Linked DNA regions of Diceros bicornis minor. The main gene of each other region encodes a partner of the protein of the gene in region 2 in a complex. Links are inferred from orthologs where the notes say so. Each region holds a gene or a part of one and is shown on either strand. Other genes may lie near its edges. The genes, in order: ASPH and F10.

Region 1 (15,465 bases), on a different chromosome or scaffold from region 2:
CCACCACTTTGGGGTTAAAAAAAATGGCAATATCCAGTCAAGTTTAATATGTGTATTTGTTCTGACCCAACAATTCCAATCCTAAATTAAGCTCTAGAAAAACTCTTAGACACGTACACAAGGGGACAGACAGGTACAAGAGTGTTCAGGGCAGCAGTGTTTGAAGGAAAAAAACAAAACAAACCAAGTGGTCTCCGACAGTAAGGTGGGTAAACAAAAAGGGGCACATTCATACGAGTGAGGAACTATATAAATGAAAATAAAGAGCCAGAGTTTGGTGGAATCTCAAACAAATGGTGTCAAACTACTATGCCAAGTATGAGCCTATTCACAAAACTTGTAATCTGTGCTAAACAAGAATATATATATTTCTATATATAGGGATATACACATACTTCCTAAGCAGTTTTCATATATGTTGCTTTTAACATTACATACATTTTTACATGAATGGATATGTAATATATAATATGCAACATAACATTATATATTATTTGTGGGTGTATATATATTATATATTATAAAGAAATGCATGAGAATGATTATCACAAAATATGTACGAGTGGCTGGGAAGGGATAACACAGGAAAGGAGAAACCGAGAATCTGGTAACATTTTATTTCCTCACCTGTACAGTAGATACACGGGCATTCACTGCATTCACTATATATTTATAGTCTTAAGTACGTAATATTTCAAACAGAGCAGCACATATTGTGTTCTAGAAATTAGAGAGATGGTTCACATGTCAAAAAGCATGACATAATTTATAAAACTCAGTAAGTGACAAGCATCTTATTCAAAATGATTTGATTCATTTATAAAACTCAGTAAGTGACAAGCATCTTATTCAAAATGATTTGATTCATTCAAGAATGGAAAAGTCAAGTTAAGAGCTAGATATTCTTTCAACAAACATTTGCAACACAGATTTTTATTTTCATGCAAGAAAAAAAATTAACAGCTCCTAAATAAAATTTACATGTGAACCTAAGACCAAAAAGGATTTCCAATATACCATTTCAGGAAAACTCAGATTAAAAAGAGTGTGAAAGATGGGAAGGGGAGGTAATTGTGTATATCAGTGATATAATAAACAAGAAACAGAAGTTAGAGACAGAACAACAGAACAGCAGTGAGTCTGCACTATGGTAGAAAAGGCTGCCAAACATATAAAATATGAGAAGAGGCAGTTATACAATATTAGTTATGGAATAAAATTATTTTATCAAACAACATTCTCTCACTTTAAAATTAACAAGGATGCTCGCTGGCATCCATTCAGAACGAGTCACTGGGTTACATCTGCAGGCACACACGTGGGAGAGAAGCGCTGGCATTTCTCCAAGTACAGCAATAGTGGTTCCACTCTGCTCGCTGTGGATACCCCTCCCCCACCACCCCGGCCCCATTTAACTCACTACCCTATCCACATTAGAGCACAAAGGGCATCTATGGCAGATGATGACAGTCCTACTACAGTCAGAACAACCAGGTAAGCCACCTGGATCTCACAGGGGGTCACAGAACAATACAGATCCTTCAAAAGATCTTATGTGACTATTTTTTAAAAGATTTATTCACCAAGTGAGCTCAAATTTCCTTTGAGTTTAATAGGTTATCTAAAGTAAATCTGTCCTCAGGTGTCATCAATCTGATCAGAACTAAATTACATTCAGTGATCTGCCATTAAAAGATAACTATATCAGCCAAAGGTAACCAAGACACATCCCTGAAAACGAATATCAAATGCAGACCAAACGCATGAAGCACCTTCATTGCAGGAAATAAAGTAAGGAAAATTTGAAAAAAATTAATAATGACTAACAAGAAAATACCATCTTGGCTCCCAGCACTGCCAGAAGAAAGTGAAAAGGTGAAAGCACTGGACTCCAGAATATCCCCCTACAGTGGCACTTTGGAAGAAGAGGAGGAGGAAATGAACATCCTAATCTCGAGTCCTCTAATAGAAATGGCCAAAACTGTAGGACCGAACCAGACACGTGTCCACCCAGATAGACGTACACCCATGTGTGTGGCGCTGAGCAGATGCTGGGCAGCAGATACTGAAACTTAGGAGTGAGCCACAGCAACCCCACATATCCCGGCAGGTGGCTGAGGCTTTCTCCAGAGATTTGGGTAAGCTGTAGATGGGTTCTAAGTACATACAGATTTTATTTAAGGGAAGTTAATTCAAAAAAAATATTTTTTATCTTGGTACAGAATGAAGTCAAACCACTCAGGAGTTGCAGAAGTATCTAAGACAAAACTAAGTTGCATATTTTCATATTAAAACAGTATGCTGGAACAGCATCAAAAGACTAAAATGTATCTGAGCTCTGGTAAAATAGAACAATGTTACCAGACCTCAAGGGTAAATCAGCAACTTGAAGGTTGATGTGTCAACGGGGTATGTACACCACCAGAGGCAGAAAGACCTGTCAAATGGTTCTCAAAGCCACAGTATAAACACCACCTCTAGAACATCCATTTTACTTAAAACATAGATGCCACAGAATATAACAAAAAATGATTCTTTTTTTACAATGTATCATCAAAAAGTTTCAAGCATGCAATGGCCTGCTTAGCTCTATACCTTACATCCTCCGAAGTCTGGTACTCACCCTTACCATCAGAAGTAATTTAGTGAAAGCCTCTGAGAAACACGAAGGGATTCAAAATTGGTTTTAGAGCTATCACAACTCTGAAAGAAAAGGAGAGAACACTTTTTCCCATTTGAAGAGACTAGGATTAGAGATTTTGAATGGCTTGCCACAAGGTTCTTGAATGGATATGAATCCAGGTCATCAGACTCTCCCAAACTACACTACCTTTCTGGAGGAAAAAAGGTTTATTCTATTGGGACCAGAGAGCTCAGAGGTTCAATTTCTGAGACTAACTGAAAATAGGGAGGAGAACCCACAAGAGCCTTTATCTCTATTACTCTGAGTTACTCTGCTGGTAATTAGCTGAAAATGAAAACCTCTCATTTTCTAATAATCCTTGGAGACATATAATGTTAAAGACAGACTAAAATATAGATCTTTTCTTTTATTTCCTAAGCCCAACACGGGTTAATACGCTTGGTCTTTTTAAAATGTGTTCAAGAATACTCTCAGAACATTTTTTAGGAGTTGGTTTTATATGATATAGCCAGGCTGACAAAATGCTGTTCAACTGAACACAAAATATCACACAGTTCTTATAGTGGAAGAATGATAGCCTTCCTATCTTTTCATCCTACGTTGACTAATGGAGGATTAAGCAACTGGCCCTAACTGATAGCCTCTGGCTAAAGAAAGAAAATCTCACCAAGCCCTCTTCATTCAAGGGATCCAGAATGTAATCAGCAGTGTACTGTATCCATTAGTTACTGAGTGGTCTAAAAGATACTGAAAAGTAGAAAGAGAAAAAAAAATTCTAAATGATTAATATCCATCAAATGAATTTGTGAACATGTTAAGTTTTACAAATAGTATACGAATGCATTTAATTCTAAATTTAATTCTAAATTAAGCCTAAAAAAATAGGCTGGTAGGGACAAACTCTTACTACTAAATTTCAAAATCTGCTGTGAGAGACTTTGAGAGAATTAAACAGCAGTGGATAAGAGTGTTTAAGCGGTCGCCCACTATAGTTTTGAGTATGTACAGGACTGATTAAACAAAATAAAACAATTGATGTTACACAGTCTGAAGCTTCAAATAGAAGGAAGAAAGTGTTCTACAGTGACACCTACCGGTAAAGAGGAACGTAGTAGCACGACACTACTAGACAAAATAAAGAGTCAGATGTTTACACCACTGTAGCATGCTAGAAGCTACAGGGAAAGAATGAATGATACTCAAAAGGGAAAAGCGAAGCAAACAAAAACATGACACATACCAGTGTCTGTGTACTACAAAATAAGCCCAAAAGGACATCGTAATCCTTCTTAACCAAAGATTTTCAAATCAATAAATCTGAAAGAGGTTTCCTCTGACCCCAATTGGCCATGCAAGTCAAATTTTTACATGCAAGTTACAAGTAAGATGTCCAATTTACTTCTGTTTCTTTTATGTTATGAAGAATAAAACTGACAAAGGTAAAATTGAGCTCTGTAGGAAACTAGACATTTTATCATTTTTCAGTTTTAGTTGAAGAGTTAAAAGAAAAGCAGACAGACTTAAAATTCCAAATGTTATATAAATCCCCAAAATTCCAGTTTCCAAACATCACTTTTCAACACAATGTGACCACCAAGACAAACAGAAGGCCAGATAATCACCGTTTCTCTAAAATGCATGCTTCAAAGAATAGCGTCCATTTTCCCCCATACTTTTATACAAAAATTTAAGAAATAATAATGTTTAATGTGACCAATGTCATCATCAAGGATGATGGAAAATTTAATTGGTTATATGACGAAAGCACACTTTTCCTAATTAACTAGTTGTAGCATGCCACAGAGAGATCCAGAAGGAAACTTAAGAGACAATCTACTTTAACTGCAAGATTCCATTAAAATCTTACAAATTAGAGAACCTAAAATCCAAGTAGTAGTATAATGAATGAATTACAGAAAACATGGGTTCTAGTCTTGGATCTTCCACTAACTAGTTGGGTTTCCAAGAACTACACAACCTTTAATGAACTAGACAACCTTTCTGGGCAATAATTCCCTCATCTATAAGATGAGAGGAGGGAACTGAAGGGGCCTCACAGTAATGCCATTGCTAAAATTTCTTCAGTTTCTATGATTTCCCCAGCAGATGGGAATGGTTTGGGCATCAATGTCTATACTTCAGTGCCACTGCAACAACAGAGAAGTTGGTTTTATCTTTCAGGTATATCCTGCTATAAGAAAACAATATAAATAGAATCACACTTTCACTCTGCGGTATAACTGTTTATGACTGAAAGAATCCTTGTTTCCATCTCCTGTGCCTTCTACCTGGCACACAACCAGAGGTCAATATTTACTGAAAAAAATGGCTATGGAAAAAGATTACTCATTATGTAACATGCGAGACTCCAATATTCTTTAAATGTGTTTTTTTTTTGTAAAAGAGATACTTTTCTCTTTAGATACTATGTCTGTTTCATGATAATTATGGAATCAATGTATAAAATGCTTAAAAGGCTGTAGATCTTCAAATATGGACAGAGCTTGCTCTAAAATGCCTGAATGTGAAAGTCAGAATATGTTCATTTAGGTCATAACATTTCCTGAATTTATTACTTGCCTGTTAAAACTGGTTCACTTATTGATCCAGTAGGGGTGGGAACACAATACGTATTTCCCAATACTAATTTTTACCAATAACAGGCCATACAAAGCGACTTCCTCAGATGCAATCAGTCCTCTCTACTCATGAGCCCAAAGGATAAAATGGAACAAAGATGTGCTTCATTTGTAAAGAGTGCAGAAAACTGTAAAAAGCAATTAACATTAAAGTCTTGTTCATCCGCTTTCTCTGCTTGGAACTTAACTGGCACAATGGGCTCTTCTCATCTCTAAATTTTAAGAAGTGTAGCTGGAGCCGCCTGTGACAGCTCATCTACTCTTCAGCCTGTTTAAGTAACGGACTGGCATTTAAGGACAAGGGACAAAAGAACATAAACTTTTACTTATTGTCGAAGGTGAATTAATATGCTTGCTTTGAATTTCAAACTGTGTGTATCTTTTTCCATTTACCATACAAATGTTAGTTCTTAGAATGTAAATTTGTGTGGTGACTTTGCACTACTTTCACCACATAAATTTATTCAAATATATATTGAGCACCTATTAAAGGCCAGGACCATTCTAGGAGTTGGGGATAGGAATGAACAAGAGGAGGGAGTAAGACAGGAAGACACTGCAAACGAAAATAAATAATTTCAGGTAGTGAGAAAGGCTGTAAAAAAAAAATAAGTCCTGTGAAGTATGACTATAGTTATCTGATTTATCTTCTTGATATATATGAATACATTACATGTAGACCACAGGACACAAAAAGAGTCTAAATCATTTCAACAAGGAAAGTCTACAGCTCACATTCAATACACATGTGTCCTGCAGTTAGTTTCAATATCCTAACTATGAGTCAAAGGAAATATAAAAGAAACAGAGAACCACTGAAATATGAGATGAAACAGATTTAAAACATCTGTTCTCTGTCTTTGCTGGGTAAGCACATGGAGGAGAAAGGTGAACATCCAAAAGACTTTTTTAAAAAAAGACAATGGGAAAAACAACAGAGAAGCTGGCCCAGTATTCTAAAGTATTCTGTAATATTTTAAAGGTAACAACAATGCCCTTTAAGAAAGCTACATAAATGCAAAAATACTTAAAATCATTTCCAAGAACATTCAAATCACTCCCCGCACACACCCCTACACACCCCCACACCCCCCTGAGAATATCACACTTCGAGTTGCTCTTAAAGGCTGCCGGTTTGGCAAGAACTTATTTACTTCGACTTTGGCTCATTGCCAAACTCCCCAAATTATGCAAGGCAAAGGTAAATTGTTTCTCCTACTCTCATCTTCAAGTCCACGGAAAGCCAAGACGGAGTCTATCCATAACTTCCATCTAGGCTGCGCCCTGCAGGTGAGGGATCAGCGGGAAGGGGCTCCCCGGCGCGACCCCCCGAGCCCGCGGAGCCGCTCCAGCCCGCCCGCCAGGCCCACCGAGCACGGCCTCCGCCCCGCGCCAAAAGCAGGCGCGACGCGGAGGATGGAAGAGACGCGCCGCGGGAGCTGCAGAGACGGAGCCACGGCCCCCGCCGCCCGGGCCCCACCCCTACGGCCGCCCCCGACCCCCGCCGCGGAGCGCCTCTGACCTCTCCGTGCCCCGGGGCTGCTGCTGCCGCCGCTGGTGCCGGCGCTCGGGCTGCCGGAGCCGCTGCTGCTGCTGTTGCCGCCGCCGCCCTTCGCATTCTTGCGTGGGGCCATTGCGCGCACCGCCGGAGCAGGCGAGGGGTGGGGGGCCCCCTCAGTGCGCGGGGGACACCGGGGGCGCGGGGGCCGCTGACGGCGGGCGAGCGCTGCAGCGGGTGCGGGCCGCGGCTCCTGCAGCTGCCGCTGTGGCTCGGCACCGCCGGCCGCGCCTCCGAGGACTTTCACCCGCGTGCCGGCTGCGCGCGCCCGGCCGTGCGTGCGCCGAACCTGTGACTCCCTCCCGCGGCGAGAGCGCGCGGCTTGCCAGCCCTCGGCCACGCCCCTTCCCGGCTGAGCCCCGCCTCCTCCCTGCCCGGAAGCTTGAGTGACGGGAAGTGTAGCCAATCACAAAGGCGGCTATGAGGGGGCGAAACCCTGCCGCGCTTCCCCGCCCCCTGCAGACTTAAGGCTGTGCTGGCGCGACGCAGTGGCCTGTGAGCGCGGGCAGCTTTCGTCTTTCCAGTCTGTCCTGATCCTTTGGAACGTGGCAAACGTGGAAGCCGAGGTGGCTCTCGCGAGCATTGGCGGACCCCGCACGATCGGGACGGGGCGGGGTGCGGAGGCGGGGCCGGCGGGCACGTGTGCGGTGTCCGGGCGGAGCGTGCCGCCTCTTGGCCTTTCACTGGGACTTGTGTTTAGCTTCCACTTCCATGTGCATACAGACCCCAAGCAATGCAACCCAGCTTCTTGAGAAAGAGAGGTGGTTCTTGCCAGTATTAATATTAAGACATTCTGAAATGGTGATATTAGGGGTAGTTCAGTGCTTAAGCCATACGTGTTGGATAGGTTCGGTTTTAAAGCAGAACTTCATTTTGTTTGTTGAATTAATATTTTCAGAGAATCTTAGTTAAACAGATGCAAATGTAAATGTGAAACAAAAAGTTCATTTTTTTGTCTTGGATGGCACCCTCTATCTGAAATCTCCCTGCGCTGGGCTAACGCCTAACAGTCATCTTTCGTTGATATCCCCAACCATGGGTCCCCTCTTCTGCAGTCACACAGTGCATGGGCCTGAGCTACCTCTGAATTCCTCATATTGTCTTAAAAATATCTGGGCTTATGGGTAAACCAGACAGGGACTTGAAGTCACAGATGTCATTGTCATCTTTGTGTCACCAATTGCCGGCACAATACCTGGTGTGTAACAAACAAGCAGGAAGTGTGGTGGTTTGGTACATTTCTGACAAATCCTTAAGACTTTCTCCTAATTCTTGAGCATGTTTTGGAGCACCTCCTGGGACTGTCTCAAGGAGGCTCAGGAACCAGAGAGCGTGGTTGCAGTGTGGCATCTGGTTTTACTCCTCTTCTGCCACCACTCATTGACAGGTCCCCAGGCCCACCAGCCTCTTCTGCTGCGAATGGCTGGATCCCGCTGGAAACTGCCGAGTGACACACAGAAGCCCACCTAGGGTTGTGTTGCATAATGAGGAGAAGGCCTGTCTTTCCTTTTTATGAAGTAGTGTTAAATAGTTACCAAGGTGGAGCAGGGGCAGGGCAGTTCACAGAGTTTTTACTGAAGCAGCCCTTTGTTTTTACCTTATGGCATCTCCTTCTGCCTCCACACATCCTTTGGTCCACCCAGGCCCATTACATTATTTCAATGAGGGGGGAGAGGGGGAGCTGGGCTGAGAGACAAATCCAGTGATAGTACTTAATATAAAATAAAATGAGAGTTAAGCTGAGAAAAACAATGGTCAAGATATTTGAGTTCTTATTCTCACAAAACCCTGTAATTGTCAGGTAACTGAGGCCCGGAGAGGTTAAACAAAGAGGTCACAGAGCTAGTAAGTGATAGAGCAGGGATATTAACTTAGTCCATCTGGCTCCAGAGTCTATGGTCCAAATTTTCCTTCCAGGACAAGGATTAGTTTTGAGCAGACAATGTCTCACCTGGCTCCCACTTCTCTTAGCAGATGTTTCCCTGAAGCCTCCTTGGTCCTACCTGCAAAGGTATCTATCTGAAATCTGTTGCTGGGTGCTTAGAAAAGTCCACCTCTTTGAGGAAATCAAGGTTCATTGATGACTGACTCCAAAATGTTGAAGTGATGCTTTGCTCCTGCACTTCCAGAAACCAAATCTGGTACCATTGACAAGGTACACTGCTGTAATCTTAGACAGTACCAGGCCAAAATAGAGGCTTTGTAAATACAGATCACAGGAAGTTAAAGGTTACCTGACTTCCTCCTTGTACCACAAGGAAACGCCTGCAATAACATTTATAGACTCAGTATTATAAGATAAAATGTATAACATCGGATACTGTCGGTTGTATATACAGTTTAGTTTCGGGGACTGAATTCCCCCAAGCTAAGTATTGGTATTATACATTTTACATCTGTTTGTGCTTCCCACTGTATGAGCATTAAAAACCACAAAGCTTGCCTTGGATCCATCAATTTCTTCACATAGGTCTTTTTCTCAGCATTGAAGTGGGGGAGGTTAGGGAGTCAAAGTATCTTTGAAACTGAATAGAAGGTCAACTATCGCTTGTTAGCCTATCCTCGTTTCTGTGATTTCTGAGTAAGCTATGAATGAACTCTGGGTGAAGCAATGTTAAAAGGGCCATAAAGACAAGACTTAACTAGGACAACGTATTAAAGTACTAATTTAATAGAGCTTTTGAACTAGGCCAAATGTGCCTTTCAGATATTTCCATAAACTTTCCATTGGCTTCACTGGGACTTGCAAGTGAGAACTTGAGGACAAGATTTGTCCTAGTTTTTGTGAGTTTTTTTCTCGTGTTGACCCTTCACAGCCTCCAGTCAAATGCTTTCCAAATTAGATATTTCTGGACTGACTTATACCTATGAGAACACTGTTTTAAAGTTGCATTTTAATGTGCTTCCTAGAAAGTGGCTCTCATCTGTATGCAGTCCTCTTAATGTGAAGTTTTATTATTGCAAACTAAAAATGAGTATTTCCTCATCTTTACTTACCGTGGTAAATTCTGCCATAGTGGAAAAAATGAATTTCAACTGGTCATGATTCAATTGTATGTTTTCATTTTACATTAGTAGAATTCGTTGCAATGAAGGTTTTATTGGTAAGTACAAGAGGACTTTTAAGGCATTCTGTACTCAAAGTGTTCTCAAAGCAATTATTCCCATATGAGTTATATCTCAACAAGTAAATGAACTGTCATTTTCATCAAACAGCTTGACTTTATATTACCAAAGAACAAATAAGCCTGGCAGGTATCTACATTATAAATATATAGAATGAATTTATATCAGCAGAAGTAATTTTAAATCTAGTCAAAAATAGATTAGAATTAGAAATACTGTGTTGTAATATGGAAAAATAATCTGAAAACATATTAGCTAAGAAACCTATAATTTATTTCTTCTTTTCAATTCTTTGCATTTTTCTATCAGGATTGATACTTCATAGTGCCAAATTCCCTTCCTAATAAATAGCATTTAAGTAATGACTATTACTAGTCTTGTTTCCTAGTATAGGGAATTGATAGAATTGATTCTTCTTAAATCTCAAACTTAATCCCACAAAGAAGCTTAAACATGAAAAGAAAGTCAAATAATCAGAGAATAACAACTGATTATAGACAATGACAATTCTGTGGTATATAAAAGGAAATGTTAATGTGATTTAGGAGTCTTAAGAAAGTAATGGAGAAATCAAGAAAAGAGAAAAATGTGGTGAAATCTCAAGGATTCAATTTGTTTGCAAGATAATTTTACTTAAGCTATATTTGCCTCAAGGATCTAATGAGTGTGTGTATCTATAACTAAAGTAATTATTTCTATGTCTTTCATGAGAACCATGCTCCTTAGATGGAAACAGTTCCCTGATCCAAAGAAAAGTATCCTGCAACTAGTTTCTAGGATCCTCCAATTTCATTACATCCAACGTATAGTGTTATTCAATATGCAAAACTGAATCAATTAGTCAACTTAAATCCTTGAATGTTTATGGGAAATCATGCATACCTTACATAAAATCAGTATTAACTCAGCCCTTTTTATACCGTCATCTTTCTGATATGAATCTGCAATTTCATAAGCACATGATAAACATTGCTGAGCCCATACAAAAAAATAAATCCTAATGGACTTTGCCAAAGAACTCACTAGTAAGAAAAATAGGGAGGGTCTCTTTGTATCATTGCAACAAGATTTTATTAATCTAAAGACCACTACTAATCTATTTGAAATCTACTGTATTTCTTTACTTAAGAAGTACAATATTCATTACTTTAATAAATTCTTTAGCATTATATTGTGGCTATTAACTAACAGTCCTGAATATTTTGTGATTCTTCATGAAACTGCTACCATGCTGACTCCATCACTTGAGGAATTCGTTTCTCTGTTGGCAGATCCCTTTGACTTAGAGACAGAGACCAGTACCCTAGATGTTCACTGAAGCTGCTCCTCCCAGCACCAGAAAGCATGTTAATTTAGTAAAACTTAGTGGAAATCATTTCCAAGCAGCTGTCTCACAAATTATATGGTTCTATTTTCTCTACTTTTTATGGCATCCATATTGCACTTAGTGTTTCTGTCTCCAACACAAAAGAAGAGTTGAGGAATGCAGCTTCCAAAAGGTATCCTTGGAGAAGCCATTGTGTAAAAACCTAAGTGCACAAGTTTTAACTGTTTAGACGTATCCCAAGGGATTGTTTTTTTAAAAAAAATTCTCTTTCCCGAATTTGAGAAAATTGAAATCAAATGTGAACAGCTTGATAGCGTGCTTAGGCTTATATGAAAATAAACTAAGTCACAAACAATATTTAGGAAACTACCTGCAGGCTACAGAGCAGGGTGAGGCCTGCCGACTTCCTCATCTACATATCCTCGGTGAGATCGGGCAGAGAAGCTGTTACATAAACGTTTCAGCTCAGGCTCTTTGTGCTTGCCGTTCCTCTGCCTGGGGAATGCTTTTGCCAGACAGTCCAGAGGGTCACAAGACTCTTGTTACCCTCTCAGTTTAGCCCCAAGCCCTACAGTACCTCATGAGCTGAAATTTCTTGAGGAGCACTCTCTGCACAGGTATTAAATGGTTAGCCATTAAGCCACCGGGAAGCTGCTTATATTTGTAAGGTAAGGGCTTATATTTGATAGTAATGCCAAAAATATATAAAATCAATGACTTTTTGACATAAGAGAGATTTTTTCAAGTAGCACACAACCTAAAATTTTAATTATGTTCCTAAAAATAGGTAAGGATAGCCCATTTAGGATTTATCCCATCACACAACTGTGGGCAGCCATGAATAGCTCAAGTGAGAAATTAGAAAGCAAGCAGAGGAAGAGAGGGACCCATTGTATGAATCTGTGAAGTCATCACTCAGGTAGCCTGAGGCAGAGAACTACATTTAACTAATGCCTACAAAACGTGAAATCTGACTAGTTGTAAACAAATAAACTGACAGATCTCTACAATCAGAATGAGAGCCTCAAAATAGTGATGTGACTTCCAAGTCAGACCAGCATGAGACAGAGAGGAGAATCTGTGAATGACATAGAACTAGGATGGAAAAAATATCCCATTGTCCTATTAGCTGGGTTTGCCTGCGTCTTTTTTTCTTTCTATTTCCAAGTTAGGAGAGGTTAGCTGTAACACCAGAATTGTGCTCAGTATTATTTATAGTTGGTTGGACCTGTGTGCCTGTACATTAAGAATTTGGTAAATCCACATAGGTTATTGTATATTGTCATTTCAGATTTTCAGTGAATCCTTAAAAAAAGAGAGTCAAGTCTCAAATTAAAAGGATCACTTCAAGGAGCCAGCTGGGTGGCATAGTGGTTGGGTTCACACACTCTGCCTCAGTGGCCCAGGGTTCACAGGTTTGGATCCCGGGCGTGGACCTGTGCTCCGCTTGTCAAGCCATGCTATGGCAGGCGTCCCGCATATAAAGTGGAGGAAGATGGGCACGGATGTTAGCCCAGGGCCAATCTTCCTCAGCAAAAAGTGGAGGATTGGCAATGGATGTCAGCTCAGGGCTAATCTTCCTCACAAAATAAATAAATAAATAAATAAAAGGATCACTTCAAGTATTAAAGATATACTATAACCAGACTCATTAGACTCAAATTCAGGTTCTCAGAAGGAGCAGATCTCATAAGCAACAACACTCACTGAATTATGCTCGCTCAAGTGTGATTCCTACTTGTGTATGCAGTATGACCTATAACACAGGCAGTTATAGAGGAGGGGTGACCACAGTGCACCAGGCACTGTGATGTGCCCCTCACTCATCCTTTGCCTCAAAGCATCAAGGAAGGATGTGTGAGATCCTCTGCCCCTTCGCCTTCTGCTCTTCTCTAATTACTTTCCACCTTTGAAGCTGCTCATGGTGGCGACCTTGGTTCACTCTGGTACACATGTTGGGCACAAAGGGAAAGGGGAGCATTCAGAGTGTGGTTGCCTGCTGTTCCCTTACCCCCCAACCCTTACTCCCTAGCCTGTCAACAATGCAAGCCTAGATATTTTCAGCCTGGGGGACACTGTGGACTCAGAGCTAAAATGCTTTCCATGGCTGAGGTTTAGAAAGCAAGAGAGAAGTCCTGAGTTGTTGGGAAGAATCCCACCAATCAACAGAAAGCCCTCCTTCATCCTAGCCCCACACTTAGGACTCCCAGGAAAAATGCACGTTGTGAAGGTGGAAGGATGGCAAATTCAGCATGACTGGCAAAAACTTGGCCTGCCCCTGGCTCTGATCCTACAGATAACAACTCTGCAAATAACTAAGGCACCCTGCCAGAGAGACTTGCCAAAAAACATTAACTTTTGGGAGTGGGGGATGGGGAGATCTTCCCAAGAGACAATGGTACAAGGCTTGCAGGAGGAGCATGACTGGCCGAATCCATCTCTCTGGAGCCCACTGCTGACCCCAAGGCAAGCACAACCATCACCTCAGAAGCCCTCCCTCCAGGCCGGGTGTCCCTCTTCTCAGTTATTTTGGCAGGAGTGGATGGAGGAGTGTTGCAGTTGCTGCCAACAGCAGGTTGTAATCAGATTTTAAGATAGTTGGGGAAAGAACTTCATGTTACCCCTCCCGTTCCCTGTCTCAACACTTACCACAGGGCCTTATGCCTAGTAGGCTGGCCCTTGGGTGATTGGTGGCTAATAGAACAACCCTTTGTGATACATTCTCGAAAAGATTTCCTGCTCTAAAAGAATTACAATTCCCGAAGGCCACAATTCTTGGCTGCTCTGAACACTCTTCAGTTGTTTTCTGGATGGCCAAAAGCTGGAGCAGTAACCAGGAGAGAGAAGTGGCATCTCCCCCACATTGCATGTAATCAGTCCTGTGACAGTAACTGATGGATGGCTTCCCACACGGCGTCCGACCCCTTCCCCACCATTTGCTTACTTCCTTATCTCCCACTCATCCCACTCAGAGAGCCCCAATATAGTTAGAAAAACTGTAAAGAAGGTTTCCAGAGGTCCATGCCTTTGTCTGTGTGTCTTTGGGCTGCCACCATCCATCTCTTTCTTCTAAGGTAACAGGGAGCAGAGCCACAGGAGTATAGAGAGCCAGCTCCACCTCTGCAGCCCGCGGAGCCCCTTCTTCCCCGCTGTGGTTAGGAATCTTGGTGTCCAAGGCCTCTCTCTTCTCCACCTGCCTCTCTGCATCCTCCCCTCCGGGGTGATCTGGAAGCTTTGGAAGAATGGGGAGTGGTGCTTCCTGTAACACTTAGGGGAACTTTGCTGGCTGCCTGGTAACCAGAGAATGCCCTCATTGTGTCCTCCTTCCTTTTGAAGCTGGTGCTTCCTCTCCTTGGATCCACACCCTATATTTGGACATTTGCTAATAAGGTAACACATGCTTTTGGGTTCTTTCCCTGCAATTTTTCAGATTTGGGCAGTTTGCAATATAGCTATGACAATATAATCAGGGCTTTATCTTTTATTATCAAGATCTTTCTCTTGAGAGCTAGTTTTGACGGGAGGACAATATACGGCATCCGAAAATCTGAGTGGAGGAAGGAACTAGAATAAAGGGTGAGGACAAAAGAGGTATAAAATGCTACGTTTTAAAACGAGCTTCAACTGTTGCCCTATTCTTACATAAGTTAGGCATCCAATTAATTGCTTATCCTTAGACTATATTCTTGCTGATAACTATATATTTTTTAAAGTACTGTACAGATAATTTGGGCAAATTCCCACCTACAAAAACTAAGGGAAATATTATTTCACATAATTCTACGAGTATTTCCTATCTTCCGACGTAAAATTTTGGCATTGTCACCTTTTAAAAATTCTGTCCTTGACATTTACATGATTATAATAAGCTTTTTCAGCATCCTCATTGCTGCTTTTTATATATGAGTTAAAGCTGTTCCAGGTTACAAATGAGATTTGCTCCCAATTTCTTAATTCTTAAATAATGGCCTTTGGGCCGGCCCGTGGCTTAGCGGTTAAGTGCGCGCGCTCCGCTGCTGGCGACCTGGGGTTTGGATCCCGGGCGCGCACCAACGCACCGCTTCTCTGGCCATGCTGAGGCTGCGTCCCACATACAGCAACTAGAAGGATGTGCAGCTATGACATACAACTATCTACTGGGGCTTTGGGGGAAAAAATAAATAAATAAATA
Region 2 (15,694 bases):
CGCCCCTTCCTCGCGGCCGTCTTTCCCGGATCCGGACCCCAGGTGCACGAGGCCCGCCGGCGACTTCCGGGGCAGCGTCCGAGGCCCCGCCTCTTCCGGGGCGGGCGCTTTCCACGCGCCGCCGCCGCTGCGCAGGCGCCGTGCTGGGCCTCGCCGCCCGGTGTCCATTGTGGCCCTGCGCGCCGCGCGCTCTGAGGGCGGCGCCCCAGTGCCCGCCGTCGAATATGGCGGCGGCCGGGGCTGCGGGCAGAGGCCCGACGGCCCACGTGCTGTGCGCGGCCCGCCCGGGGAGGCGGGGGCCGGGCGTGGACAGTCTTTTTCGCAAACGTTTCATGTTTCAGAATCTACTGAGCAAGGCCCTCGGAAGTTCCCGGGCCGGCCACTGCCGTCGGCCCACGCCCGGAGGGCCCTGCGTGGCCCGGGTCAGCCTCCCGCCCCCATGGGCCGCCTGCGCGGCCCCACCCCGGCCCCTACCGTCCTCTCGGCGTCCTCGAAGACCTCCCGGGCCTCCTCGAAGGTGCAGCTCTCCTCCATGCACTCTCTCTCGAGGTTCCCTCTCTTCAGCTCCTCCAGGAACGAGTTGGCCCTGCGGACGCGGGCCAGGAGGCCGTGCGCGCGCTCCCGGCTCAGGAACACTGCAAGACGGGGCGGCTGGGGGGCGCCCGCCTCCCTCCCGAGTCCCCGCGGGGTGCTGCCCAGGACGCCCGTGCCTGGCGGTTCTCGGTGGGGTGGGCCGCACGCACCTTCTCCGGGGGAGTCAGCCTCCCGCCAGCCGCCCCGCGCCCGACCCACGTCCTGTCTTGAACTGGCCCTTCTCAGAGTGCTTCCGGGTCACTGTCGCCTCCCGGCCGCTGCACCCCCCGCCCCGAGCCCCACCCGCCCCTCGAGGTCTCAGCTCTGAGTTAAGTGGGTGGGGAGTCGTGATACTGTTTTGATCATCTACCATTAAAAGTATGGTTTGTATCAAGTCCCAGGAACATACACATAAAGCAAAAGTTTCAAGAAATAGTACTTACTACTGTTTTCTACAAAATAGTACTTATTACAGAATCTGTACTTGATCCTGTTCTATTTCATTTTTTAAAACCCACTAAATTGGTGCCATGACTCACAAAGGAGTCATGAGCTGCCAATTAAAATGTCTTGGATCCAAGATTCTCTGGACCGTCCCTGTGTGTGGACCTACAGCTGCGTCGTGCCCACCTCTTTGCCTGTCCTCTCTCTCACCCATTCCTTTTCCTCTTTGCGTTGTGATACCGGAGGCCCTGGGATTCTTTTCTTGGCCCTCTGTGCTTATTTCTCTACCTTTTTCCACTGAAGAATTTAGAGTATCCCCATAATAAAGACGACTCTCCAAGTTGATATTTCTAGTCCCAACTTTCACCCTGAGCTCTAGGTTTTCGACTCCCTCATGGTGATGGATGTGTCCCCTGATCTCAGAACGCCAAACTCTCATGTCTGAAACTGAAAAACAGGACTGCAGAATCAAACAGTCCTGAATTTCAAATACACCTTGGTCACCTACTGCTTAATATTGGCAAGTGGGAATGACAATACCTACTTCTTAGAGTTGTTTTAAACAGTGTATACAACTCCTAGTGTTCAGTGTGGTACACACTAGGTGCTCAATAAAGGTTAGCTTCATTCCTACCTCAAATTACTTTCACTTCCAAATTCTCCATTTCTTTTAGTGACATCAATATTATCCTAACAACACCAGGCTCAAACTTGTTATTTGTGGGCCCTCCCCCATTACTCCAAATATCTGCTCCACTACCAAGCGCTTGCTTTGAAATACAGCCCAGAGGTGGATTTCTCCCCTCCATCCTTCCCCACGTGGGTCTCTTCTGTTCTATTTTTCTTTCTCTCTTTTTCACTTTTCACTGCTCTCTTGTCTCCCACACACCTGAGTCCCCCTTGTTTGCTCCTGAGTGCTCCCGTCCTTCCACTTGATCCAGGATGCAAACAAGCCTCAGGGTCTCCTCAGCCCCAGAGGTATTGCCACCTCTGCTCTCTCCTCTGGCTTTGCTCTGCTTCTCCCGTCTGGCTTCTTCTCTTTGGACAGGCCCCGGAGTCCTGGAAGGCCCAGGGGCCCCCCTCTGTCCAGCCACACATTGGGCAGCCCCTTCCCCTGGCCGAGCCAGCCTGAGGGTGGTGGCACCGGCTTCTCTTTCATTCTCTCCCCTGCCATAGAAGCTCCTCTCTGCCTGTGACCCCCTCGCTCCCACCCAGCTCACTTAGAGAGTGGAGGGGGGTATCTCTCTGTCTCTCCTCCCACCTCCCCCTTCTCTCCCTCTTCCTCCATCTCCTTCCCTCTCTGTCTGAGTCTCTCTCTCTCTGTCCTTCTCTATTTCTCTCTCTGTCTGTCTCTCTCTCTCCCTGTCCATGTTCCTCTCTGTCTTTGTGACCTTTGACCCACCATCTGACTCTCCATCCACAGGGAGGCACACTGGCCCTAAGCTACCCTTGGCTGAAACTGCCAAGCCCAGCCGTCTAACGCCAGCCTTCCACAGGGGACAGACACCCACTATCCACATTGTGGAGGTTCGAGGGCATCACCCTGACCCCCTACCCTCCCTTCTCCTCCCTGGGGGCCACCTCTACAGTCTGCAGGGTGAGGGGCGCTTACCGCTTCCTCCCGGCAGCAAGAGGCCAGCCAGGGAGGCACTGAGCAGGACGAGGCACAGTGGGCCCGCCATGGTGTGGCCGAGGACAGTGTCTCTGTCCCTGGGGCAAGGTTCACTTACCCTGGCTCGTGGCCGGTTGTCCTTCTGCTTATCACAGCCTCCTGATTGGAGCCTGGGCCTGCTGGGGGGGTACAGGGGCAGGTGACCGTGCTGAGGACATGGTCACTCTGGCCTGTGCAGTCCTGGAGAGGTCCTGGCTGAACCTCATCCTCATTAGTAACTGTGTCCAGTGGGGCCTGCTTTGGACAGAGGAACTTTTTGGTCTAAGAGAATAACAGTGTCATTTTAGAGTCTTCAGACGTTGGTGTCTAGCTCTCATTTCATCCTTATAACATTGATAAAAGCTGAGAATCATTTCCCCGTATTTTCTCCAGAACAGAAGGCCGAGGTTGAGAGAGAGGTGAAGCATTTCCCAGGCCGTGTGTGGTGCACATGGGGTTTGAACCCGGGACTCGCTGCCCCGGGTCCTGCTTCCCCTTGGCCTGGACCAGTCCTGCTCATGGGCCTCTTTGCAGGTGTATCAGGTGGCACCCTGCAAAGGGCCTCTGTCACAGAGTGTCCTGTGCTTCACCTCCGTGTCAGTCTTGTTCCCCCACCCCAAAATTCAGGGGCTCCGGGAGGCAGAGCATGTCTGAGAGCCTCTGTGCCACACGGCTCCTTGCGCGCAGGCTTCTGGGAGGAGCACCCCCTGCCCGGCGCCTGGAGGGAACTGCTCTGCCGGAACCGCCATGTGATCTGTCGACAGCAGGGCAACTTGGCCCGAAGTCGAGAGGGGCTGTCCCATGAGGAGCAGCTGGACCTGCCTCTCTCTGCCCCACAACAAAGCCACGGAAATGCCCGCAGGTGTCGGGGCCCAGATTCCCCGACAACGGCTTTGCCCATACCCTACTGGGGGCTGGGTGGGGGCGGGGGAAATGAGCCCTGAAATGCCGGAGGTCTCACGGTGAAGTCCGTTGCTCACTTACATGAGACTTGATACAGGTCAGCAGGGAGAGAAGGTGGAGGGCTGCGCGGTGCCCGGGGGCGGGGGGGAACCGAGGTGGCTTCCTGGGCCAGCCCCACCCTGGGCCTGTCCTCAGTCCCTCCTGGAGGGACAGGAAGGATGGAGGACACCTGCTCAGCACTCACCAGCTCCACAGAATTCGGGAGTCTCCCGTGCCAGGCTCTCATCCGGGAAGATCCCAGAACTAGGGGCTGCATCACCTTGTGACAGATGACAGGCGCCAGGGAAGGCGGGTCACCTCAGGTCTGTGCACCGAAAGCAGCTCGCCCCCTCAGTGGGGCGGTTGGGAGGGAGGGAGGTGTGCACACAGCGGGTGCACACCAGGTACCCGGTCACTCGCCCAGCCAGAGCCTCTCCAAGCGTCAGGCGTGGGGACGCGGCCTTGAGCCCTCCGCTGACCGGGGTCTCTGCAGCCGGACTCCAGGCTCTGGAGGAGAAGGCCTGAGAACTGGCTGGCGAGGCCGGGGCTGTGCCGAGAGAGCCAGAGAGAGAGAGGTAGACTGCACTGTATTCCACGGCACCAAGCACCATTCCACGTCATGATGGGTCAGCCGACGCCCGTGGTCCTTTGGATACAAGCCTCTTGTGTCTGGCTTGTTTGCTGCTCTGTCTCCAGCACCCAGAGGGGTGTCTGGCACACAGTAGGTGCTCAGTAATCACCAAAGGACTGAATGAATCGGTGATGTCCCGAAATGATCCTGCTCAGCGCGAGAGGCTAGGGCTGGCCTTTCACTGGGTGGTCACAGTGACATGCAGAGCCCGGTCCTTGGGGACGACCCGCAGTCGGTGCCCTGGGCCCGTCTCACCTGGTCTCTTTGTGCTGCAATACTGTCTCTAGGCACGGTCAGCACATGGGGGAGACGGGGTTCTGTGTGAGCCCCTCCCTGGCCCAGCGCCTGGAGCCACTCACGGAAAATGGAGATGAGCCCTGATGGGATGTGAATATATCTGCTCATCGAGTGTGTTAGCCTTCAGGGGTGGTCCTGACATCCCCGGCACCGAGCTCACTGCAGCTCTGTGACAGCCGGGGAAACTGAGGCAGAGCCCGTGACCCACCCAGGACCTCGTTACCCCATGTGGGTCTGGGGGCTCCTGGACCGGCCCCTTCAGCTCCCTCCTCCCCTCTTCTTCTCAGGAAGAGGAGTCCAGCCAGCTTTCATTTTCTGGAAGAAACAAGAGATTTGGTGGGCTCAGGGCCTCCAGAGACCTGGTGCATTTTGGCTGCAGAATTTCCCCTCAGTTCCTGCAGCCTGAGCGGGGAGCCAGAGGACATCCAGATGGTTGCCAATCGGCTTCACCGTCCGTGACGATGTGATTGAGTCCTCCCAGGAGTCTCATTTTACGGGCACTGATTTCATCCTCATGACAAGCACCAAGGCGGGCTCCCTCGGTGCCCATACATGAGGAGACAAGGCACAGAGAAAGAGGGTGAGCGGCTTGGCCAAGAGCAAGAGGCAGGGCCACTCTTGACCCAGGAGGCCTGGTCTAATGTCGGATCTCCTAAGCGCATGCCCGATGGCGTGGTGACATCCTGACAGACACAGCCTGGCCAGGGAGCAAACCTCGTCTGTAAAGGCCCAGAGTGTGAATACGGTAGGTCTGTGGGTCAGATGGTCTTGTTGGCCAGACAGTCTCTGTCCCAACTACTCAGCACTGCGGTTTTAAGCATGGATGATGTATAAAGGAATGGGAGTGTCCCAATAAAACTTTATTTATGAAAACAGGTGTCTTGGACTCAGCCCCGGCCCCTGGTCTACTCTGAACTAAATTATGGCTGATTGTTCACCAGAGCGAGTCCTGGCTCCCTAACTTACAGGTGTTACACACCGTTGGTGTTCCAGGCACAGGACAGGCCAGTTGCCATCCCCCGGGTGTGTCCTGGGGGAGAGGGGGGCCTGCTGGGTCTGCTCTATCCACCTTCACCAAGTTCAGGCAGGGCCCACTTTTATGTCTGCTTCCCTCCTCTGATCATTTGCTTCCCCACCTGAGGCCTATCGGGCCCCACAATCGCCTGTGGGACTTGATAAAAAGGTGACTCACTGGGTCTCCTCCCCTGGATCCCGCTGCTCTGGGCAGGACCTGGGAGCCTGAATTTTGTGGAGCACCCCTGGTGGTTCTCAGGCCGGTGTTCCCCAGGGCTCTCTTTGAGGACCATCATCGACTAGGGCCTTGCAGGAAAAGAACACCCAGTTCTGTAGGGTTTGGGAACTACAGCCTCCAAAATCCTTCAGAGAGGGGCCCACCCAGTGGCATAGTGGTTAAGTTTGCGCATTCCACTTTGGTGGCCCGGGGTTCACTGGTTCGGATTCTGGGTGAGGACCTACCCACCACTCATCAAGCCATGCTGAGGCAGCGTCCCATATAGAAGAACTAGGAGGACCTACACCTAGGATATACAACTATGTACTGGGGCTTTGGGGGAAAAAAGAACAAGAAGAAGACTGGCAACAGATGTTAGCTCAGGGCCAATCTTCCTCAAAAAAAAAAAAAAACCCACAAAATCCTTCAGAGAGCTCTCAGTTTCAAAAACCAGGCTCCAGGGGCTGGCCTGGTGGCGCAAGTGGTTAAGTGCTCGCGCTCCACTGCAGTGGCCTGGGGTTCGCCAGTTTGGATCCCGGGTGCGCACCGATGCACTGCTTGTTAAGCCGTGCTGTGGCAGCATCCCATGTAAAGTAGAGGAAGATGGGCACAGATGTTAGCCCAGGGCCAGTCTTCCTCAGCAAAAAAGAGGAGGATTGGCATTGGATGTTAGCTCAGGGCTGGTCCTCCTCACAAAAAAAATAAATAAATAAAAACCAGGCTCCATGTAAGAAGGTTCATGTCAGTGTGTCGGTAATCGTGAAAGAAAAGAACAGCTCGATGATAGACATCAGGGTCTCAATGACATGAATTATAGACTATCCGTGAATGGCGAGCAGCGGGAAAGAATGCTCTGAGGAGAGTCAGCTGTTTGTTTGCTGATAGTGGGGAGAAAAGGTGGCAGACGGTACGTAGAGCATGAGCACTTTCCATTTTATGGTAAAAGATCCACATATAAGGGCCGACCTGGTGGCGTAGTGGTTAAGATTGTGCGCTCTGCTTCGGCAGCCTGGGGTTCACAAGTTTAGATCCCTGGTGCAGACCTACACACCGCTCATCAAGCCGTGCTGTGGTGGCGTCCCACATACAAAATAGAGGAAGATGGGCACAGACGTTAGCTCATGGCCAATCTTCCTCACACACACACAAAAAGATCCACATATAGAAAGATCTGGAAGGATATCCACCAAAGTGAATGGATGATGCTTCCAATTTATCTGAAAGGATGATGAAATACTCGTATAAGAGAGAAAAAGATGAAAGTTAACAGACAGCCCTCAGGCAGTAGCACACATCACTGTGAATACACTTGTGCACACCTCTGTCATGTCGGTGACGAGATGCAGCAGAAACGCGCAGGCGTGCGCAGTCACTTCTCTGTGACCCTGGCACCGTCTCCTGTCTCCCTTGCCCACTCTCCTGTGTCTCTCGTCTCAGTCCGTCTCCTGGAGTCTCTGAGTCTCTCTCGCCCCTCAGTTTCTCTCTCTCCTCCATTCTCTCCCCTCTCCTCTCCATCTCTCAGTCTCTCCGAATTCCTCATTCTTCTGCTCTCTTTCTCTGGGGGTCTCTCTCCTTGCCTGTCTCTCTCTGTCTCCTTCTCTCTCTCCCTCCCTCTCCCCTCCCCACCCCAAGAGCTGTAGAAGAATTTACGGGCTCTGACGCCAGGACAACCCCGTGGCAGCAGGTTTATTTCCAGGAGCTGACTGTGAGCCTAGGGGAGTGGGGCCCGGAGGAGGCCTTCAGAGTGCAGCTCCGAGAGCATGAGCCTGTGCAGCCACTCCGTGTACTGGGAGACCCTGGTGTATACCCCAAAGTGGCCTGCGGCTGCACAGCCCTCCCCCCAGCTGACGACACCCGTCAGGTACCGAGTGCCCCGGAACTCGGTGGCATGTGGGCCCCCACTGTCACCCTTGCAGGCGTCCTGTGTCCCATCCAGGTAGCCGGCGCAGAACATGTTCTCCGTCAACTCCGGGGAGCCCGCCGTCCTGCGAGACTGCTCCAGGCAGTCCTGAGTCCTCAGCCTGGGCACGTCAATGGCCATGAGCTCCAGGGCCGTGGCGCCCCTTTCGAGGAGCTGGCCCCAGCCGCTGACGGAAGAGAAGCGAATGGAGGCCAGCGTCCTCTCGGAGAAGGCCTTCTCGGGCAGACAGAGGGGCACCACGTGGTCGGTGAAGGTCACGGGGCTCTGCAGGCGCAGCAAGGCCAGGTCGTGGTCCGTCTTGCGCGGGACGTACTTGTCGGGGACGATGATCTGAACCACTTGCCGCTCCTGCTCGTCGCCGTCCTCCTTGCTGAGGTCGTGCTCACCTGCGGGGAGACCAGCACCACTCACGGCCCTCGCCCTGCAGCCTCAGGAACCGCCCTTCCCGGAGCCTCCTTTAGGGCAGGAGAGGCCCTGCGTCCAGCCCCAAGGTGGCCTGAGCAGCCTCACAAGTGGCCGCCGTTGGGTTCCGTGCAGAGTGTGAGTCAGTGGTGACTCTGGAACCTGGGGCGCTGAAGGCACGTGAGGAGGGGGGGTTGGGCCAGACAGCTGTGGGTGGGTAACGAGCGGGTGCCCGACTCCCCCAGTTCTTCCAGATGGGGCCTGGCCTCCCCCGGGGGTCCTTGTCCCGTAAACCCACCAGGGGGAGGCCAGCCCGCCGTGGCCACGGAGCCCTGTATGGCTGCATCCCCCTTTGGGTGGATGGAGCACCTGGCCTACGCAAGATGGGCAGGTATAGCGTCACCCCCATGTCTTTATTTGGGGTAGGAAAGAGGCTGAGGGACGGGGGCTGTGGTGGGACCCGCAGGCAGTGGAGTCTGCCCAGGCACTGCCCACTTCTCTTTCAGAGAAGCTCGTCTGGTCATGGAAGTCGGAAGTCGGTAGTTCGAGGCCCCGAAGCGTAGCCCCGGGTGGTTCTCTTGGAAGGACCTTCCCTCGTCAGAAGGAGGTGAGCGCAGACCTACCCAGCACTGCTGTCAGGTTCTTCCAGCTCCTGATTCTGTCGAAACAGTGGGCTGCGGAGACCACCCAGGTGGTGTCGAGCAGGGTGCCCCCACACAGCAGCAGCCCGTTCAGCTTCAGCAGAGCCTGACAAGGGCACAACAGGTGTTGGAAGGTCACATCATAGTCACCCTTCCTTGGGGACTCACCTTTCCCATGCACCCTTAGGGGAGGCTGCATTGACAGGATTGTTTCTGAAATCCTGGGGGCTCCCCAGAGCCCTTCCTGGGCAAAGCTGCTCCGACTCCTCCCCAGCAGGCCGTCTCCCCACCTCGCTAAGGGAAGGGAAGCTGCGGGCACGGGCTTGACGATGGAAATGTGGGGGCTCGATTCCTCTGTGCATCTCCTAGTACTGTCACCCAAGTGTGACCTAACATGCCTGACTTGCAAAGGTCAGGCCAAGGTCGTGCTCCTCGAGCATGTGAGGAGTGAATGGAGTAACTGATGAAGCACTGAGCCTGTTCTCGGCACCCAGGTGACCCGCAGTAAATGCTTCCTCTTCTCTTCTTCCTAAAAGCAAAGGGGGTGCTGAGCGGGGCCCCGAGTGAATCCTGGGTGGTGACGTTTTCCCTGCAGTGATTCTCCCAGGGTGGATGGGAAAGGAGCCCAAGTCTCCATCCAGGCCATCTGCGGACAGCGAGGAATTGCAAGGCCAGAGGGCGGCCTGGCTGAGGGGGAGGCGGACCGGCCAGTAAATGGTCCTGGTCTGGTTGTCGCCAGTCAGCATGTGTCGTGCTGAGGTCGGATCAACCAGGGAGGAGACTGGACGTGGGTCAGCCAAGCTGGGGCCCAACGCCCCGAGTTGTGGACAGCAGGACAAAAGGGGTCAGGGAGGTACCCCTCTCCTCATCCAGACTGGCAACTCTGACCCCTCAGAGAAGAAAGCACAGTAAAACCCCACGACGGTGAACAGCCGCCTGCGGATCAGAGCCACAGTCGCTGCCCGGTGCCGGGAAATCTAACCCTGCCTGGCTGACAGTGACTCTGTAGCTGCAGCTTGGAGAGGCGGGCAGTCTGGGGTGGTTGTTACAACCTGGATCTGTGCCTCCCGGGACCGGATCTCAGCTCTGACTGGGCAAGGCACTGAACCTCATGGGGCCTCAGTTTCCTCACCTGAAAAATGGGGCAAGAGTTGCACCCACCTCTCAGGCAGGGTCGTGGGGGTTAAATGATACTGAGAGGTGAGGTCTTGGTGGGCTGGGTCCAGGGAGCACGTGCTGGGAAGCAGTATCTGCTGCAATCACCCCCAGCGAGCCCACCTAAGAACTCCCACCGTAAATGCACAGAAACCCATGTTCGCCAACCCGCCTCTACCTCACAGAGGCCTTGCCGGCCCATTACGGGGACTCTGGTGAACACATCAGCCCCATTTGGATGTGTCTAGCTCAGATTATTCCTCTCAACACCAGCTGGGGTTCTCCCTGGACCATGAAGGCCCCTCCAGGCCCCAGCCGCCTGCCCTGACCACTGTGGGAGGTGGGGTGGGGCAGGGGGAGGCTGGGTGGGTGCAGCACCACCAGCTCAGCAAGAAATGCAGCTTCTGAGACTGGTCTGGAAGGGGCCAGATGGCCGCCAAACAAGAGACTGGAGCTACCCGGAGCCCAGGGTCAGCCCAGCGTGATCGCTGACTCTCCAGTCTCAAGGTTCTTGTACATTTACTTGTATTTCTAAAAATTCTTAACTGTTTAAGTTGGAGTGTCTCCGAATGAGGAGTTAAAGGAGGGCCACTGAGTCGGGCTCAGACCTGAGTTTGCAGCTTGTATCACATGTGGGCACACACCCCCGGGCTCTCCTGAAATGGCGATTCTGACCCTGTGGGTCTGGGGGCCTGAGAATTGGCATTTCCAATAGGAACCTGGCTCACAGCCGGTTTCACAGAGAGACGCCCTGGAAGGGCCATGCCCCCACAGACCTGACCCCGTGAGGGGGACAGCCTCCCCGACCGCAGGAGGATTTTGGCACGGATCAAGAATCTCAGCTCCCAGAGGCAAGTAGTAGATGCAGCTTTGGAGGTGACCGAGCTGGGTTCAAATCCTGCCTCTGCCATTTATTGTGTGTGTGGCCTCAGTTTCCTCATCTGTAAGAGGGGAGTGTGCGTGATGAGGTAGTGAGGGGAGAGGGTGAGCTGGAGCAGCAAAATCCCAGCTAAATGCAGATGTGTTGTGGACAAGCAGAAGTGGACTTAGAATCAGGGGGAAATCCACGCCAGCACGGCATGAGCAGGGTGGCTCCGACCGGGGCGTGCTGTGATTGACCCACCCTTTCCCTTCGAGGGCCCTGAAGCCTTACCTGCCAGGGACACTGCCCTTTGGGGCACACCTTGCCGCCCACAATTCGGCCTTCAGGTTCGCTGTCATTTCTTTTTTCCAGAACAGGTATTTTTCCACACGGATATTCAACTGTATAAAACAACGTCAGCAAGTTGTGGGGAATCATGATGGATGACCGTGCAAGTGAGAAGAGGGCATGAGGCCTGTGGGCAGCTCTGCCTCTGGCCCCAAACCCAGGCTGTGGGAGCTGCCAGTGGGCAGATGTGCCAGCGGCTGGCTTTTCAGGAGCAGAGGGCCCTACTTCTTGAAACTGCTAGTTTTTCCAGGAAAAAAAGATGTGCTTAGGGGCCGGCCCAGTGGCGTAGCAGTTGAGTTTGTGCGCTCCACTTTGGTGGCCCAGGGTTTGCTGGTTCGGATCCTGGGCGCAGACTTACTCACTGCTCATCAAGCCATGCTGTGGCGGCGTCCCATATAGAAGAGCTAGAAGGACGTACAACTAGGATATACAACTATGTACTGGGGCTTTGGGGAGAAAAAAGAAAAAGAGGAAGATTGGCAACAGATGTTAGCTCAGGGCCAATTTCAAAAAAAAAAAAAAAAGATGTGCTGCTTGAATTTACTAAAAGGTGAAGGGTGTTCTGTCTAAAGGACAGCCAGCATCTCAGACCGCCGTGCTGCTTCTTTGGTCCCACCCTTGGTTGCTGGTTTGCTCCAGTGAAGTCTCTGGGCCAGAAGGGAAGGCATCCAGTGGAGGCAGCTGAATTTCAGGCTCCTTAGACTGGGCTGGGCACATCTCTTCTGTGTGAAGAGACAGAGGGCTTGGGGTGCCCCAGCCTTTGGAATTGCAGCCCTGTTAGTTTGAAGTTGCAGCCTGTTAGTTTGAAGTTGGAAAATTTTCCATTTTCCTAAAAGTGCTGGCCTCGACAAAAGATTCATAACCCAGTATTGTGCTGCAGTCAGTGCAGACCCTGGTGTGGCAGTGTGGACTCCCGTCAGAATCTGCGTGCTGGGAGTGGGGCGGGGAAAGCCTCCTTCTGCTCCTCTGGGCCCGCCTAGAATGGGCAGGTGGCCTGAGGCCTGTCCAGGGAGCCGCTCCCAGGGCTCTGTCCTGCCTGCTGTTGCCTGGGCCCGCTCTCAGGGGGGCGGCCACCTCCACTCTCAGTCTCCTCCCTGCCTCACTGAGCATGGAGTGGTCCACACCGGGAGATGCTCAGTGAATAGTATGCCCCCATTCTCATCTTTTAGCCAATAAGAGAACTTGTGTCGGGCAGGAACTGGGGACTGGTCGTCTAAAAATGAAACAGCACACAGACCCTGGAGCCTGGTCCCTGAGGACCCATTACCTGTAGATGCGCAGGACACTCCGTCGGCCTGGAGCTCGTACCCCTCGTGGCACCAGCAGGAGCGCCTGGCCCCTGCGTGATCGGTGCAGTACTGCTCACAGCCCCCATTGTCGTTCATGCAGATCAGCTGGTCGTTCTTGTCTGAGGACAGAAGGGGACAGCCTGAGAGGGCCTCCACTGGTCAGGGAAAGCCAGCCCTGGTGGCCACCCCTCCCTGGGCCGGAGCAGCGTTCTGCACAAAGACGGCGCTCAGCTGCCTGCTACAGAGACTGAGCCTGGCACCACCTCACTCTGCAGATTGATCCAGAAGGGAGGACCTGGAGTTAGGGGGGTCCCAGCCTAGCCAGTGGGGGATGCAGGGCTGGCATGCAGTGTCACCCCTTCTGGGAGCTGGGGAAAGCAGAAGTCCCCTGGGGACAACTTAATGGGACACTTGCCAGCAAGAGGCCAGAGAGATGAGACTGTTTTACAGCCAGGCCCTGGTGTCCCAGTGAGCTGGCCTGGGGCTGACCACTGGTTCGGGCAGGCAGAGACAAGGAACGTTTGACTTAACTCTAAAGGAGAGCGCTTTGATGTGGGAAACGGGATTGGTGTCCTGTGTAAGTCCAGGACCCCCACTGGGAAGGCCAATCCTGGGAGTGAATTCACACCATGACTGCTGACCGTCAAAGGTCCTGGGAGTGAATTCACAGCGGGACTGCTGAGTGTCAATGGCCCTGGGAGTGAATTCACACCAGGACTGCTGAGTGTCAATGGCCCTGGGAGTGAATTCACACCAGGACTGCTGAGTGTCAATGGCCCTGGGAGTGAATTCACACCAGGACTGCTGAGTGTCAAAGGCCCTGGGAGTGAATTCACACCAGGACTGCTGAGTGTCAATGGCCCTGGGAGTGAATTCACACCAGGACTGCTGAGTGTCAATGGCCCTGGGAGTGAATTCACACCAGGACTGCTGAGTGTCAATGGCCCTGGGAGTGAATTCACACCAGGACTGCTGAGTGTCAATGGCCCTGGGAGTGAATTCACAGCGGGACTGCTGAGCACTGAAGGCCAGGCAAAGACATTGAGGCGTTCCAGGCCCAGAACTGTCAGGAAGCCTCTTTCCTTAGTTTTTGCTTCACTCTTCTGGCCTCTGTTCTGCTGAGAGCAGAAGGCAGCTGTGGCCCAGGAAAGCTCCTTCTGTATCACATGTGCACTTGTGTGGTAAAGGGTTAACCTTGCCCAAAGAGAGGCCTGGCCTTTGCCCTCAGGTCCTGGGACGTGAGCTGTACACCCTCTCTGATTAAGTTGGACACTTTTAATTTAATCTGCCTGATAAGAGTGTTGTTTTCCTGGGGCCTTGGGCCACACTGAATGGTCTAACAATGTGACTCATGTGTGTCCTTGGGCCACGGTATCAGCTTGCCCTTGGAGGGGCTGGAGACTGAGGTCAGCCACGTGCATGGTCAGCCATGTCTACCTCTGGACACCGAGGTTCAGGTGTGCTTCCTGGGTTGGTAATACTCTGTTGACATATCTCTGTCACTTGTCGCCTAAGACAGTGGTCTTTCAGAGAATGAAGGACTGTCCCCATGACTCCCCTGGCTGAGGACAACTGGAAGCTCGCATCTGGTGCCTTTGCTGAGTTAGTCTCCTTTCTTCTGCTGTGATCAACTGTAACTGGGGTATATCAGCTTTCAGTGAGTTCTGTGAGCCCTTCCAACAGATTACTGAACCTGAACGTGGTCTGGGGGACCCCTGACCTTTGCAATACTTTAGTATTTGGAAGGTGAGAAAAATATTGCATACCTTTGTAATAGCAAGTAGGGAAGGTAAAGTCTAGCCAACCGTCTTGGCTGGTGGGATATGAGGCAGCTGGGCAGTGGTGGAGGGCCTCTCACCTGGGCCCTATCCAGGTGCATCAGAATTTCCCAGTGCTGGAAGCCCAAGGGCTTTCTATTTCCCAGAAGGGAACACGGCACAATCAAGTTTGAGAATTAGTACCTTAGAACCCCAGATCCAAGACTCTCAGGTTGGCAAGGGCCTTCAAGGTTACTGAGACCAACTTTCTACTGAGGCCCAGCCCTACGCCCAACCAGGCCATGCCCATCAGCCTCCTGGGGGCCCTGTCTGCAAGCTATGGGAGTCCTCACTTGTCTCACAGTTCCGGCCCTCAAAATCTTCGAGGCAGAAGCAGATATAGGACTGCAGCTGGTCCTCGCAAGAGCCTCCATTCTGGCATGGATTTGAGGAGCATTGGTCCCCATCTGTGGAGGGAGTCAGTGTTAGTAGGCTGAGGAGGAGGGCTGGTGGGTGGGATCAAAATGGACTGTTTACCTACTCACCTTTGTAAGAAATCCAGAACTGCTTCTGAGGGAACAAAGAGGAAGCCGCGTGAGGCACACGTTCACCAGAAGCAAATATTTACGGTATCCCCCGAATGAACTGATGACCTGGTGGGTTGTGGTGGGCTGGGCTTCTGACCTGGGCCTTTTGTGATGGGCTCTGGGAACCAGATTTTTCCTCTGGAGATAAGGTGTGTTCGTGTAGGGGGAAGAAGTGTTTTCCTAATCCCCACTTCCCCCACCTCCTCCACCCTGATCACTAAGGCCACCAGCGGTCACAAATTTCCCTCCCCCAAGTCAGAATACTCAAGTTTTAGCCCCAACTCTGCCACCTCCGAGCTGTGAACCCAGATGAGACTCATGTGCTCTGAGCCTCCATTCTCTCCTCCAGACACACAGTCGACACGAGGAGAAGGTAGGTGATGCACGCAAAGGCATTCTAGGAACTGCAGGGGGCTCCAGCAATAAAAATGATTCCTGAGGAATCTTTTGCCAACTGACCTAAAGCTCGCAGGGTTGCTGTGACAATAAAAGAAGACGAGAACTGTTGAAGATGCTTTGAAAAACTAAGTGGTACACGGACACAATGGATAACCATCCGCAATGTGCCTGGAAAGAGTCACGTTAGCCTCTGTCTCAAGTAGCCCTACTTCCTGTGTGAGGTGTCCTGTGAGTATGTGTCCTGTGAGTGTGAGGTGAGGTGTCCTGTGAGTGTGACACGTGCTCCTGTGAGTGTGAGGCATGTACCCTGTGAGTGTGTGTCCTGTGAGTGTGAGGTGAGGGGTCCTGTGAATGTGACGTGTGTCCTGTGAGTGAAGTGTGCTCCTGTGAGTGTGAGGTGTGTGCCCTGTGAGTGTGTGTCCTGTGAGTGTGAGGTGTGTCCTGTGAGTGTGCGGTGTGGTCTTTTCTCATCATAACCTGACTCACCCTCCTGTCAAAGAGTTCAGAGGGATGTGATACAATTCAAATGTGCGTCTTTTGGAAAGTGAAAACAGAAATGCAGAC

Evidence for each region.
Region 1: the proteins of F10 (region 2) and ASPH are in contact, whole or in part, in a crystal structure (PDB 6Q9F), measured with the Homo sapiens proteins. The link is inferred for Diceros bicornis minor from reciprocal best matches to the Homo sapiens genes F10 and ASPH. Residues at the interface, in NP_000495.1 of Homo sapiens: Asn97, Gln98, Lys100, Cys101, Lys102, Asp103, Gly104, Leu105, Gly106, Glu107, Tyr108, Thr109, Cys110, Thr111, Leu113, Glu114, Gly115, Phe116; in NP_004309.2 of Homo sapiens: Ala389, Glu390, Arg393, Ser394, Asn395, Leu398, Gln431, Phe432, Leu433, Gly434, Met436, Arg437, Val462, Leu465, Leu466, Ile467, Gly468, His493, Phe496, Ala500, Arg526, Phe529, His530, Arg562, Ser563, Leu564, Tyr565, Asp616, Glu617, Leu619.

What each region holds. Positions count from the first base shown.
Region 1 is NC_080772.1:14,717,789-14,733,253, forward strand, and holds the start of ASPH (aspartyl/asparaginyl beta-hydroxylase), read right to left. Parts: upstream 7,130-15,465; 5' UTR 6,918-7,129; coding exon 6,806-6,917; intron 1-6,805.
Region 2 is NC_080748.1:86,877,638-86,893,331, reverse strand, and holds the start of F10 (coagulation factor X), read right to left. Parts: upstream 5,846-15,694; coding exon 5,731-5,845; intron 4,158-5,730; coding exon 3,999-4,157; intron 3,891-3,998; coding exon 3,816-3,890; intron 2,809-3,815; coding exon 2,748-2,808; intron 812-2,747; coding exon 475-811; intron 442-474; exon of another isoform or gene 436-441; intron 345-435; exon of another isoform or gene 1-344. Other genes in the region: F7 (coagulation factor VII), read right to left, coding at 7,481-8,076, 8,716-8,839, 11,042-11,151, 12,366-12,506, 14,498-14,611, 14,690-14,714. UniProt on the Homo sapiens protein: Factor Xa is a vitamin K-dependent glycoprotein that converts prothrombin to thrombin in the presence of factor Va, calcium and phospholipid during blood clotting.